Linked DNA regions of Bombyx mori. The protein of the gene in region 3 interacts with the protein of the main gene of each other region in a pairwise test. Links are inferred from orthologs where the notes say so. Each region holds a gene or a part of one and is shown on either strand. Other genes may lie near its edges.

Evidence for each region.
Region 1: the proteins of proteasome alpha 3 subunit (region 3) and mesoderm induction early response protein 1 interact in a two-hybrid assay, tested with the Caenorhabditis elegans proteins (2 studies listed by BioGRID). The link is inferred for Bombyx mori from reciprocal best matches to the Caenorhabditis elegans genes pas-7 and T07F8.4.
Region 2: the proteins of proteasome alpha 3 subunit (region 3) and GATOR complex protein Iml1 interact in a two-hybrid assay, tested with the Caenorhabditis elegans proteins (2 studies listed by BioGRID). The link is inferred for Bombyx mori from reciprocal best matches to the Caenorhabditis elegans genes pas-7 and depd-5.

Annotation. Positions count from the first base shown.
Region 1 is NC_085118.1:3,183,007-3,187,365, forward strand, and holds mesoderm induction early response protein 1, read left to right. Parts: upstream 1-1,526; 5' UTR 1,527-1,737; coding exon 1,738-2,952; 3' UTR 2,953-4,312; downstream 4,313-4,359. Other genes in the region: transmembrane protein 87A, read right to left, coding at 123-183, 992-1,081.
Region 2 is NC_085116.1:10,881,182-10,884,838, reverse strand, and holds part of GATOR complex protein Iml1, read left to right. Parts: intron 1-657; coding exon 658-1,135; intron 1,136-1,283; coding exon 1,284-1,432; intron 1,433-3,657.
Region 3 is NC_085124.1:6,957,984-6,962,257, reverse strand, and holds the start of proteasome alpha 3 subunit, read left to right. Parts: upstream 1-1,341; 5' UTR 1,342-1,453; coding exon 1,454-1,474; intron 1,475-1,678; coding exon 1,679-1,885; intron 1,886-3,273; coding exon 3,274-3,522; intron 3,523-4,274.

The DNA.
Region 1 (4,359 bases), on a different chromosome or scaffold from region 3:
TGCCTTTGTGTGCCAAGATATAGTTGATTCAGTTTATCATCTGATTTAAGAAATTTGTAGTAGTTGATTTATAACAGATTTGTTTGTCACTTATTTTAAGAGCATTAATAAGTAATACTTACTTGCAATTATAAGCTTTGTATTCTTAAATAATGACTTTGCTAATGTGAAATGACAATCATCCTGAAACCAAAAAGTATATTGCATTACTGGGCATATTATGGTTTGATAGGAACTTGGGTGGTTCAGATTTCACAAGTAGAGTAGATCAGATTACATCCCTATGGTGGTGCAACCAAATTGGCAACTTAATGCCTATAAAAGGTAATTTGTCAAACAGCAAGTCTTATCTTGGGCTAGATTTATCCTAACCTAGTCTAATCTTATCTCCTTTCTTTTCTTCTTTTTGCTAACTTCTTTTCTTTCCATATGTCCCATAATAACTGGGTAACTAAAATCTATACTTAGGTATTTAAATTATTGGTATAGACAATAGATCTGTTATGACACAGCTGCTCCCAGTTGAGGATAAGATCAATTGGTTTCTAAAGTTTTGAAGCTATTTAATAATATTTGTTAAGAATATTGTAAGATTACTGCTTGTAGTATGTTTCAAACCCTGGCAGAGTTTCATCCTCAATATAAGTACATGGACCTTGTTCTCATTAAGATATGATTGTTATTTACAGTTATTACAGTTAATTATTAGTTTAGTTTCACAGCTTTTGGCTTGGGCCAAGGCTAAAGGGAGCCAAATCTACAGTTTTAACTGAAAATCATGTTTGATTGGACTATGTTGCAGCTATACCAGGTTATTATTTTCATGAACGTACACTAAGTAAAGATGTGACAATATTATCGTCTCTTTTTTTTTCAATCACTCAATTCTGACGACACGTTCAATACTATTTCTGTATCTATTATTTTTATCTAACTACCGCAGCTACCCAAGATAATTATGAAATTAAACTGAAATTTTATTTAAACTTACGCCACTAAGTTCCAAATCCCACTTTCCGACATCGGAAAAACTGTGCGTACATTTTACAATTACAATAAAAATAAGAAGCTTAAGAAACATTGTAAATTACATAAATGTACTGTAATATTATAAATATTTCATTGCAGTCAATATGTAACCAAGCAACATTTTCCAATAAAAATCTATTTTTTTGCATTAAGCCACAACAACGAATAATATGATCACCGCGCTTAGAATTAACTTTTCTGACATTGATTGATATTTGACAAATGTATGTGTTTTTTTGACAAAATATACATCGCGATAACTTTACAACCTATCTCCTCAAATATTAAGTGCATTATTTAAGATCTATCTGTAGACGTCGTTTGTTTACTTAAGTCAAGAATTATTAAATATTACTTAGATATTCTCTACTATAATACTCCATTTAAAAAAAAACATTGGCTTTACATACCCGTTGAAAATAATGAATTTTGTAATTATTGCAAAGCTTAGCTGTATGGTCAACGTCCTCTTGCCTGATTTTCAAGAAAAACAAAACGACCCACAAAAAGTAATTTGACATTGTGGTTGTCGTGTCAAAATATTTTTGTTTTGTTCTTGGAATATTTAATAAAATAATCGGTTATTGTGTTATTATTCTAATGTTTTATGTTTACTTTTATTACAAACCGTACATTTTGTTACACCTAAAGACTATTTATCATAATTAATGAAGTTAAAATTTCATCCAACTTGTTACTGTATTAGTCATGTCAGATTGCGCGCTGGTTACCAATGTAAGCGAACACGATGCGAGCATGGATGTGGGGAGCGACAAGTCTCTATTCGAGCCTACTGTTGATATGATGGTCAATGATTTCGATGACGAGAGAACTTTAGACGAAGAAGAAGCTTTAGCTGCAGGCGAGCAACAGGACCCTAAGGCCGAGCTCAATAGCCTTCAGAAGGAGGGAGATATGCCTTTAGAGGAACTCCTGGCTCTGTACGGTTACGACAGAAACATGGAAAAGCCAATTCCTGACCAAGTTCCAGAAGTAGTTCCTGAGGAAACTGAGAGAACGGAGAGGGCTGAGAGGACTGAGAGAAATGAATCTGCCCTTTCCCAATTATACAATGAGAATGCAAACCCTGAAGCTACTAGATGCCTTCGGTCTGGCTCAAGGCCTCCCTCTGAGGAGGAAGATGATTATGATTACAGTCCAGATGAGGAAGACTGGAAAAAAACTATAATGGTTGGTAGTGACTATCAAGCTGCTATACCTGAGGGTCTATGCAGCTATGATGATGCATTACCTTATGAAAATGAAGATAAATTACTATGGAATCCTTCTATTCTTGATGAAAGAATCACTGAAGAGTACATGCGAAAAGTGTGTGCTCTGAATTTAGGCACCGGGATTGAATTAATTCCAAAAGGAAAACAGCTTCGTGATGATGAAGAGGCCCTGTACTTATTGCAACAATGTGGCCACAATGCAGAGGAAGCCTTGAGACGGAAACGCATTTCTGCACAAACTCCACCTCACGCAAGTCTTTGGTCAGAAGAAGAATGCCGAAATTTTGAAAATGGCCTAAAAGCACACGGAAAAGACTTTCACTTGATAAGGCAGAACAAAGTACGAACTCGGTCTGTCGGAGAACTCGTCCAATTCTACTATATTTGGAAAAAAACTGAAAGGCATGATATATTTGCAAATAAGGCTAGATTGGAGAAGAAAAAGTATACTTTGCATCCTGGTCACACTGATTACATGGATAGGTTCTTAGAGGAGCAAGAGGCAAGTGGAGGAAGTGTGGTGCGACCTGCATCTCCATCGCCCATGATGGACTATGCAACCTCTCCTGTCACTCAACCCGACCCTCTTGCTCTTGGTGAGAAAGAAGTATTTTCACAGTTAAATACACATAACACACCCCCGAGGGCCATGTCGACAGAAGAACCAGAAGCAGACACTGGACCGTAATTTTAATTTCTCACTTTGTAGAATGCACTGTTTGTAATATACTTAAGTAAATTTTAAATTAGAAAGATAAAAAAATGCTGTAATATGTGTTTAATTCTGTGTTGATTTTATTTGAAATAGCTTTTGCTAAATTGTATATTTCAACCTAAATAATGAATATAGTTTATAGTTTATATGTCAATATTCTTACTGTAGACTTAAACTATAAGCAGTGGTTGTTTATGTACGTTAGTATAATAATGTTCATTGAAAAAAATGTAGAATGAAGAATGTCTCACTATAATCGTTGATTCAGGTGTATTGTTCAGTAACCGTGAAGCATGGAGCAAGAGCTTGTTTTTAAGTCACAAAAATAAAGTAATTTTTAAAAGTTTAAAATTCTTTAGGAATATTATCCATTAATACCTAATGTAGGTTAGTATATAAATATATCAATCTTAATGTTAAAAAAATATAGGTATAGAATTCTATCATTTTCTGTAGATGTGTATTAAGCTCTTGTGACATAGCTTTCAAGAAATCAATTTTAATGATTTTACATATTTAATTTTGGATTATCCAATTTGTAATTTAAATTAGTAATTTTCTAAAATCTGTATACTCTTTATAGACACAGCTATTGTGTTCATTAATTTTCTTAACAATGCAAACTATAAAAGTGAGTAAATGCTTGTGAGATTGTACACAGCGAAGGCTGCTTAGTCAGGGATGACTATAGATTGTTTCGAACAACTACTAACATAGATAAGACATTTAGAAACTTATTTTTTTTAACACCTATATGATACACAGACCTGTTTTTGTTCATTTTTTTTTAACACCTATATGATACACAGACCTGTTTTTGTTCATTCCTCATCTGCATGGATGCATAAATTAAAAATCGCCTATCTTTTGTTTGTTATTGTACACATAATTATTATTGTATCCATAAATAGTACCTAATTTTCTAATTTCATATATTAAATACCAATCTCAGATTTAATTCACTGTTTCATACATACAGATAGATAGGCTGCTGAAATTATCAGGGTTTATTTTATTGCCATTTTGCTATGGGATTTTAAAACGTAATAGACCTAAAATAAGATAAATTCCCTTATTCATAAATCATATTGACATTAATTATTTCTACAGTATTTTTATATTTCTGACTGGATTTTATTTAAATGAATGAGTATGGTGGTTTATTAGCATTTGATTTGTACAATGTACAAAATAATATTAATTTGTTAATAATATTTGTGAATAAGGGAGTAAAATAATTAAATTATGAATTTATGAATGTACCTGTCTATATCTAGATGGGTGTCGTATAAAATTGTGGATTATTTCATGAAAATAAACAGTGCAAAATGTTTTTGTTTATTTCACACTAGCTTTTGCTCGCGACTTCGTCTGCGTGGA
Region 2 (3,657 bases), on a different chromosome or scaffold from region 3:
GATTTTTATTGTTGTTGTATGAACTAGCACTCACTCTAGATGATATTATTAGTTATGGAGTCCATAGATACAACGTAAACAGTGCCACTCATTTTGATAATTGCTTAGATGGGTGGACGAGCTCACAGTCCACCTGGTGTTAAGTGGTTACTGGAGCCCATAGACATCTACATCGTGAATGCGCCACCCACCTTGAGATAAACTCTAAGGTCTCAGTATAGTTACAACTGCTGCCCCACCCTTCAAACCGAAACGCATTACTGCATCACGGCAGAAATAGGCAAGATGGTGGTACCTACCAATACCACATATGATCTTTTGGTTCACAATACCCTACTAAGTGTAATTATCCTTAAATGATATTTGAGATTAGTTTCACAAAGTGGTGTGTTCGAACACCTGTAACATAATGATTTATTTAGAATAATTGAAGTCAACTGCAAGTTTTCTACACTTCCATAGTTGCATTGTTTGATATGAGTAACCCACACAAATTAATAAGTTAGATCTTGACAAATTAAAAAAATCTAACACAAAATAAATCCTTAAAAATGAACCGTGACATCATTGTCTTTTTACTTTCACTCCATCGACTCCCTTGGATCTCTAATGAACCATCAAAGCTAAAACAAATATTATCCCTGTTATTTTTTGCAGTATTCGAAAAACATTACCTGGATAGATGTTTCGACAGAACGGGGCAGCTGAGTGTGGTAATAACCCCAGGAGTAGGTGTATTTGAAGTCGACAGAGAACTGACTAATGTTACAAAACAAAGAATCATTGACAATGGTGTTGGCAGTGACTTAGTTTGTGTAGGAGAACAACCTCTGCATGCTGTGCCTTTACTAAAGTTCCACAATAAAGACAATAATTTGAATTCAATTGATGATTATTCGATGCCACATTGGATTAATCTATCATTTTATTCTACAAATAAAAAAGTGGCTTATTCCAATTTCATACCAAGAATTAAATTGCCTCCACGAAAGAGCCAAGAACCATTACGTAAAATGTATGAAGATGAGAGGAAAGGTAAATTGTTGAAAGAAGATGAATGTATGCACAATTCTATATTTGATTATGATGCATACGACGCGCAAGTTTTTCAGTTACCCCCCGCTCACAGCACACGGTAAGAATTCAAATTATGTTTTTTTTTATAAATCTAAATATTCCATTAATTATTGCCTCTTTTTATGTGATTAGAATTCACATTTATTATCATAAAATCATCCATCATAACAGGAAACAATATATCAATTTGATTTTCACATTTACAGGGTACAAAGGGTCGCCAGGACTAAGAAAACTTCTGTGGCGGGTTTAGAAGGCTTAAATCGTAGGAGCCCTCCAGCTTCTACTTTGCATCACAGAAAAATGTCGGATCCGGACATCCATCATAGCCTTGGAGATCTTTTGACTTCTGGAAGTATGTGCCTACCTATTTATTGTACAAATCTACTTCTTGACTGTTTTCTAATGTTAATTGTGTTTTGGTGTACAATAAAGTATGTTCTCTCTCTCTCTGTGCCAGTTCCATTAATATATATATCACAAAAGAGATGAATATTTGACACTTTACAGCCAAATGCGGTCACAACCTATCTAGCTTGATGTGATTATGAGAACATAATTATATAGACCAATTTAATGTACCAAGTAAATTTTGATATATATATATATATATATGTAGGTGTGGGTCTAAATGAAATACTCTTTTCTAGGGTTTCACAATACTTTTTATTTAATTCTTAGAGAGCACTTTGAACACGTCTTACTCCTAATGGCGGCGTCGTGCGAGAGAGCGAACTAGAGCTACATCCGTCCCTTTCACACATCATGCGTTCAGAATCTTTCACTCGTTCAGAAATGTTTTACAATAATTAGAAATGTTAGTAATAATTAAATAATTAAATCCTACAACTCGGCCTTCCTGCACATCAGTCTGGCCTCAGACTGAAAGTACTGAGATAATAAAATAGTTCTTATGAATTAAAAATAAAAATAACAAAAATAAAATCTCTAACTTTACCTTAATTTACCTAATACTACTACTATGCAAATTTTTTTTTTTTCTAAACATTTTTACACAATAATAACGCTACAAAAATATTTTTAGTTAAACCTTATACTACCTATTACAAACAATCATGCTATAACTCTGCACACAGCTAATAAAAACAAATAGTAATTACTCTTACTTAGTACATAACACAACAAAAACAGTAGGTTTAAACTATCAGTTTAGAGGCAAACAAGTTACAATGACACAGAGAACAGCAATGCATAATAATTATTCACAGTTACTTATTCAATAACAAAATGAGCAATGTAAATACTAGATCAACCTAAAATAAACAAACAGTGTAGTGTTACAATGCACCTAAACACTCAGACCAGAGTTAGATTGAGTCAAGGCCACCTCTTCATGAAATCTAATGCTGATGTAGTTCGTACTGGCCCATCTTTGCTTCTGTCTATTTTTTCGACCTCATATCGACCTTTCCCCATTTCCCTAGTGATGCGATATGGTCCATAAAATTTAGGTTTCAATTTTAGGGCGTTCCCAAATTGTGTCCTTTGAATAGCTACAAGATCTCCAACCTTGTACATTTCTCCTACTTTACGTCGTTTATTATAAGTCTTTCTATTCTCCTCTTGCATTCTTAAAATTTGAGCTTTGGCTTCTCTTCGTGCTTCTTCTCTCCTATTCATAAATTGCAATCTATTTTCTTCTTCTAAATATTCTAAAATTGATAAATCTTCTTTCAGTTTAAGTTTCACTCCTGTTAACAGTTCGAATGGCGTAGTACAGATTGCCCGCTGGTATGTGCTGTTTATCACTTGTTGTAGTTTGCTTGTATATTTGTACCAGTGACCAGGTTCTTCAATACACATCTTTGTCAACGCAGAAATAATAATACTGTTCATGCGTTCTACTTGGCCATTTCCACGAGGTATTCCAGTAGTGATTGTAACATGTTCGATGTCTTCTTCTTCACAATATTCTCGGAACTCACTGCCTGTGAATGCTGTACCTCGGTCAGTGAAAAGTATGTTTCTGCTCAATGCATCAACATGCTGCTTAACTAACTGTTCTTCAGTGATGGCTAGTCGTCTTGGTCTTTGTGAAACTGGTACATCATCCTTCAACACAATCTTCAGCCTGATAGGTGCATCTTTAGTCTTCAAAGGTGTGTAACTGTCAATAATTTCCCTCACCGCTGTACACTGGTCATTGCTACTAGAAGATAGACAGATAGCATTTTGATACGATATGTCATAACAAGGAGGCCTGACCTCAACCAAACCCTTGTCAATAACTGTGATAGTATTTACTAAAAATTGTTGACCCAGTATTACATCATATGGTATTCCACCTGTAGGTACAATATACAAATTAATACTATATCTGTGACTGTCAATAGTTAAATCTGTGTCGAACTTACCAATCGAATATACCTTAGAGCTTCCTAACCCAGTAAGCAACATTTTTTCTGGTATGTACTCGCATTTTAGTTTTGTAAACAAATCAAAAGTTATTAAATTTAAGTCGCTACCTGTGTCAATTAAACAATTAGTCACATAGTTACCAACTTTTACTGATTTTACACTCATGTTTATAGAATCACGTTTGTTTACATTTAATAAATT
Region 3 (4,274 bases):
GATAGAAGATGATTGATTGGTAGGTAGGTCGACTGAGTATGTCGATTTTATGTTTGAAGGACTAGGAATAGGTGATAAAAAACTAGTAATAGGAAGGTTAGTCACCGTGAAAGCTTCTAGCTGTTCTCGAAGGGCTATTTGTGCATGTTCTTGACGCAATCATCGGCTTATTTTTAAATTTTGCCCGGGTTAAAGTTACCCATATTAGCACAAATATTCACCAAACGAATTAAAATCAAGACAAACACGTAAACAACTTTAAAGATCATATAGATTTTTTTATGAAACTACATCTGCAACCTTTACTTATTAAAAAAAGTACAAACTTACCTTTCTATGAAACTTTTGAGTGTGAATATAAAAAACTTTGCAGCGATGTTTCATTTGTCACCCACCTACCACTTCACAATCAACCTCAAGAAAGAAAAGTTTTGCTGACAAATATCAAATTTTGGCGCGCTTTCTTCGTTCAATAATAAACCTCTTGATAAAAAAATTCGAAGTCTAGTAAAATGTATCTCGTTTGGAAATAAAACAATAAATATATGTAAAAAGTGAGTAAGTGGGCTAATGTTAAACGGAAAGCTGAAGTTACCCAGATGGACGTAATATCAGGAAAAAACCGTATTTATTTTTATTCTACAGTGATCCAATAATTTTGATATTTTTGCGCGAATCGTGACAATCTGTGTTACTCATGAGACAATCGAAAAGCTTTAGTATCTAGGTACTATTTTTTTTTTCTACCTAGCAGAGCCTTGAGAGGCTATTTCAACGTAAACTTAACTAGTAGGTAAGCTCAGGGGGCTCAAACCTGACGACGTTGCTAACACGAACCCTAGCAAGAGCCGTGCTTCGCAGAATCTACCACCGGATCGGAAACGCGACCCACTGAGAAGATCCGGCGAGAAACTCAGTGGGCTTACCTACTAAAATTAATGTTCAATGATATAAGTACATTAAGTACTAGACCAACAGTGCGTTAAGGATAAATTTTATTACCTATTATTTGTGATCAGAAAGCATACTTTTAAATTTACTTTTAGAGTGGAGTAATAGCTATGGTATTAGTTAACCTTTTAGTGTCTATATTTATAAAAGTGCCTCATATAAAACAAAATTTCCGGACATGACTTGCTTGATAAAGCATAGGTCAGGAATAAAATCCCGTTTCATTTTTATCGATTTAATTCTAAAATAATTTCAGATTAATGCAAAATCCCAAAGAAAGCCTCGGCTTCTGTTATAAAATACTAGGATTTATGAGCATATTTTCCTTTACTTGTCCACTGTACAAATCAACAAAAACAATTTATGAACGTATGAACCTAATGATGACTGTCAAATTGTGATTATCTCGAATACCGCTTTTCGGAACAATAATTTATATTTTGGACCAACATTAGTGTATTTGTCTTGGTAGAAATCGAAATATATTAAACAGTGCGTAAACATGAGTTCTATCGGAACTGGCGTAAGTAAAAATCATTTTGAGAGGTTAGAAGGTCAATAAGTTTTCAACAATTTAGGTTTTTGTACAATGTTTGAAACAATAAATTTATCTGTATAATCAATGTTTAAATCATTAAAAATATTCTTAAAAAATATATGATTCATCGTAGAAGTTTGTTTTTTTAAAAACCAAAACTGTCCAGTCATTGCTTTTTTTTTATTTCAGTATGACCTATCGGCTTCTCAATTTTCTCCTGATGGTCGCGTTTTCCAAGTGGAATATGCTGCAAAGGCTGTAGAAAATTCTGGAACAGTAATTGGCCTCCGAGGAAAAGACGGAGTGGTATTTGCTGTTGAGAAGTTAATCACATCCAAACTGTATGAACCTGGCGCAAACAAGAGGATATTCCATATTGATGAACATGTTGGCATGGTCAGTAATATTATTTATAAATTCATAGTCAAGAATATGTTAGTATTTTTTTTAAACATATTTGTTATAAAGAGATTGATATAGCTTAATCATTTCGGATACTCTCGATCCTATTATCGGTGCGTTTAGACATTCCAAGCACCAGTCACCATTCTCTGTGAATCCATTAAATGCGATGAAGGGTTTGTCATACAAACTAACTCACAGACAGATTGCTGAGTTTTTTCCTGGATCTTATCAGTAGGCCGCTATTCTCATCTGGTGGTAGATTCAGTTAAGCACTGCTCTTGCTAGGGTTAGTATTAGCCAAGTCTCCCAACTAAGCCCTATGAGCACTTTCGGTAAAGCAAACCCTAGATGCTACTAACAATATGTAGGCAAACTAACTTATTGAATGTTCAGTTAATAGAATAGAATCTTGTTTTACTTGGTAGGAAAAGTAATATGTACTGTGTTTATATAATGTTTAATGATTTTTATATATTTTACTAGCAACCCGCCCTTGCTTTGCTTCGGAAACTGTAAATTATTATTGATTTCTCCACTATTTAATGGATTTATTATACATATAAACCTTCCTCTTCAATCACTCTATCTATTAAAAAATCGCATCAAAATCCGTTGCGTAGTTTTAAAAATTTAAGCATACATAGGGACAGAGAAAGCGACTTTGTTTTATACTATGTAGTGATTCTTCCATAACATGGGTGGACAATTATTGAAGTTCATAGACATCACAAAGTGAAAACAGTGACTTCCATAATTGTTTGTCATTAAGACTGAGCAATATTTGAATATAAATATCCCACTCTTCATAGTACGAAGAGTACTCAGTATTAAACAGCGACTTGACTGTGCTCCTAGCATTGCTTATGTTTATGAGCAATGTTAGTCACTGACCATTAAGTATGTAGTATGCTTATCTACCTACAAAGGAATGAAAAGAACAAAAAAAGATGTGTGGTGTCATGGGACACAGGATAGGAACGAAGTTCCTTATAAAAATATTCATTTTAAGTTCTATTCGGGGTATAAAGAAAATAATTATTCAGGTATACATTTTTTATTATGATTTTTTTATTGATAAAAATAAATAAAAACTACTTAACAAAGTTATCAACTTTATCTTATTCACAATGATTTATAAAAAATATATAATAAAAATGTGTTATTTTTTGTACGTTATTACAAAGTTAAGTTGTACACTGTGTGCATTACTAATAAAAATCTTACGTTAGGGACGTTTTTTCCCGGTTAGGGTACCCCTCCGCATCGTCCCATAAGGAACTTCGTTCCAAAAATCGTAACCATATCCCTCTGAAGAAATCATTCAAGTCAATCACTAAAGATTATCTAATTTTTTTTCACAATATAAAAACTGTTTTCAGGCTGTCGCAGGGCTCATATCAGATGCAAGACAAATTGTCGAGACTGCTCGTTCAGAGGCATCAAACTACAGATCTCAGTATGGCAGTCCAGTACCACTGAAGTATTTAAATGAACGAGTTTCAATGTACATGCACGCATACACACTATACAGCGCTGTTCGGCCATATGGTTGCTCAGTCGTTATGGGCACATGGACAGACTATGAAGGCCCTCAGATGTATATGCTAGATCCCAGTGGTGTATCTTTTGTAAGTTGTTATATTTTTTTTTATTTTTTTTTTATCGCTTAGATGATTGGACAAACTCACAGCCCACCTGGTGTTAAGTGATTACTGGAGCCCATAGACATCTACAACGTAAATGCGCCACCCACCTTGAGATATAAGTTCTAAGATCTCAGTATAGTTACAACGGCTGCCCCGCCCTTCAAACCGAAACGCATTACTGCTTCACTGCAGAAATAGGCAGGGTGGTGGTATCTACCTGCACGGAGAGGTCCTACCACCAGTAAATCTATAATGTTATTAGTATTTTTCTCACAATGTTGTAGATATGAATGTCACTAATCACCTCAAGGAATTATTTAGATATTCCACCTTAAGTCTGTTTCTGTAATAGTTTTTATGAAGGGATTTTTGGCCTAAAGGCCAAGATGCCTGGTTATCTTGTATCGAAATATGCCTGTGTTCAAAACCCGCAGGCAGTTAATGATTTTTCTATGAATATATGTACTAATGAATTAATTCCGTAATGAAGGAATAATATTGTTTATTAACTGGCAATAAGGAAGAGGTCTCTTGTGAGCCCAACCTATTTTTGCAAAGTATTCATGTATTCCAATTTGCATGAGCCTTTTATAACCATATAATTGGAAATTGAACCTCATGTCTAATTCTTGGATGGTGGCACTCACATTCCAATGCAATGAGCCTAGTTAACCACTTAAACACCAGGTGAGCTAGGAGTGAGTTCGTCCATTCACACTTCGAGAAAAAAAACA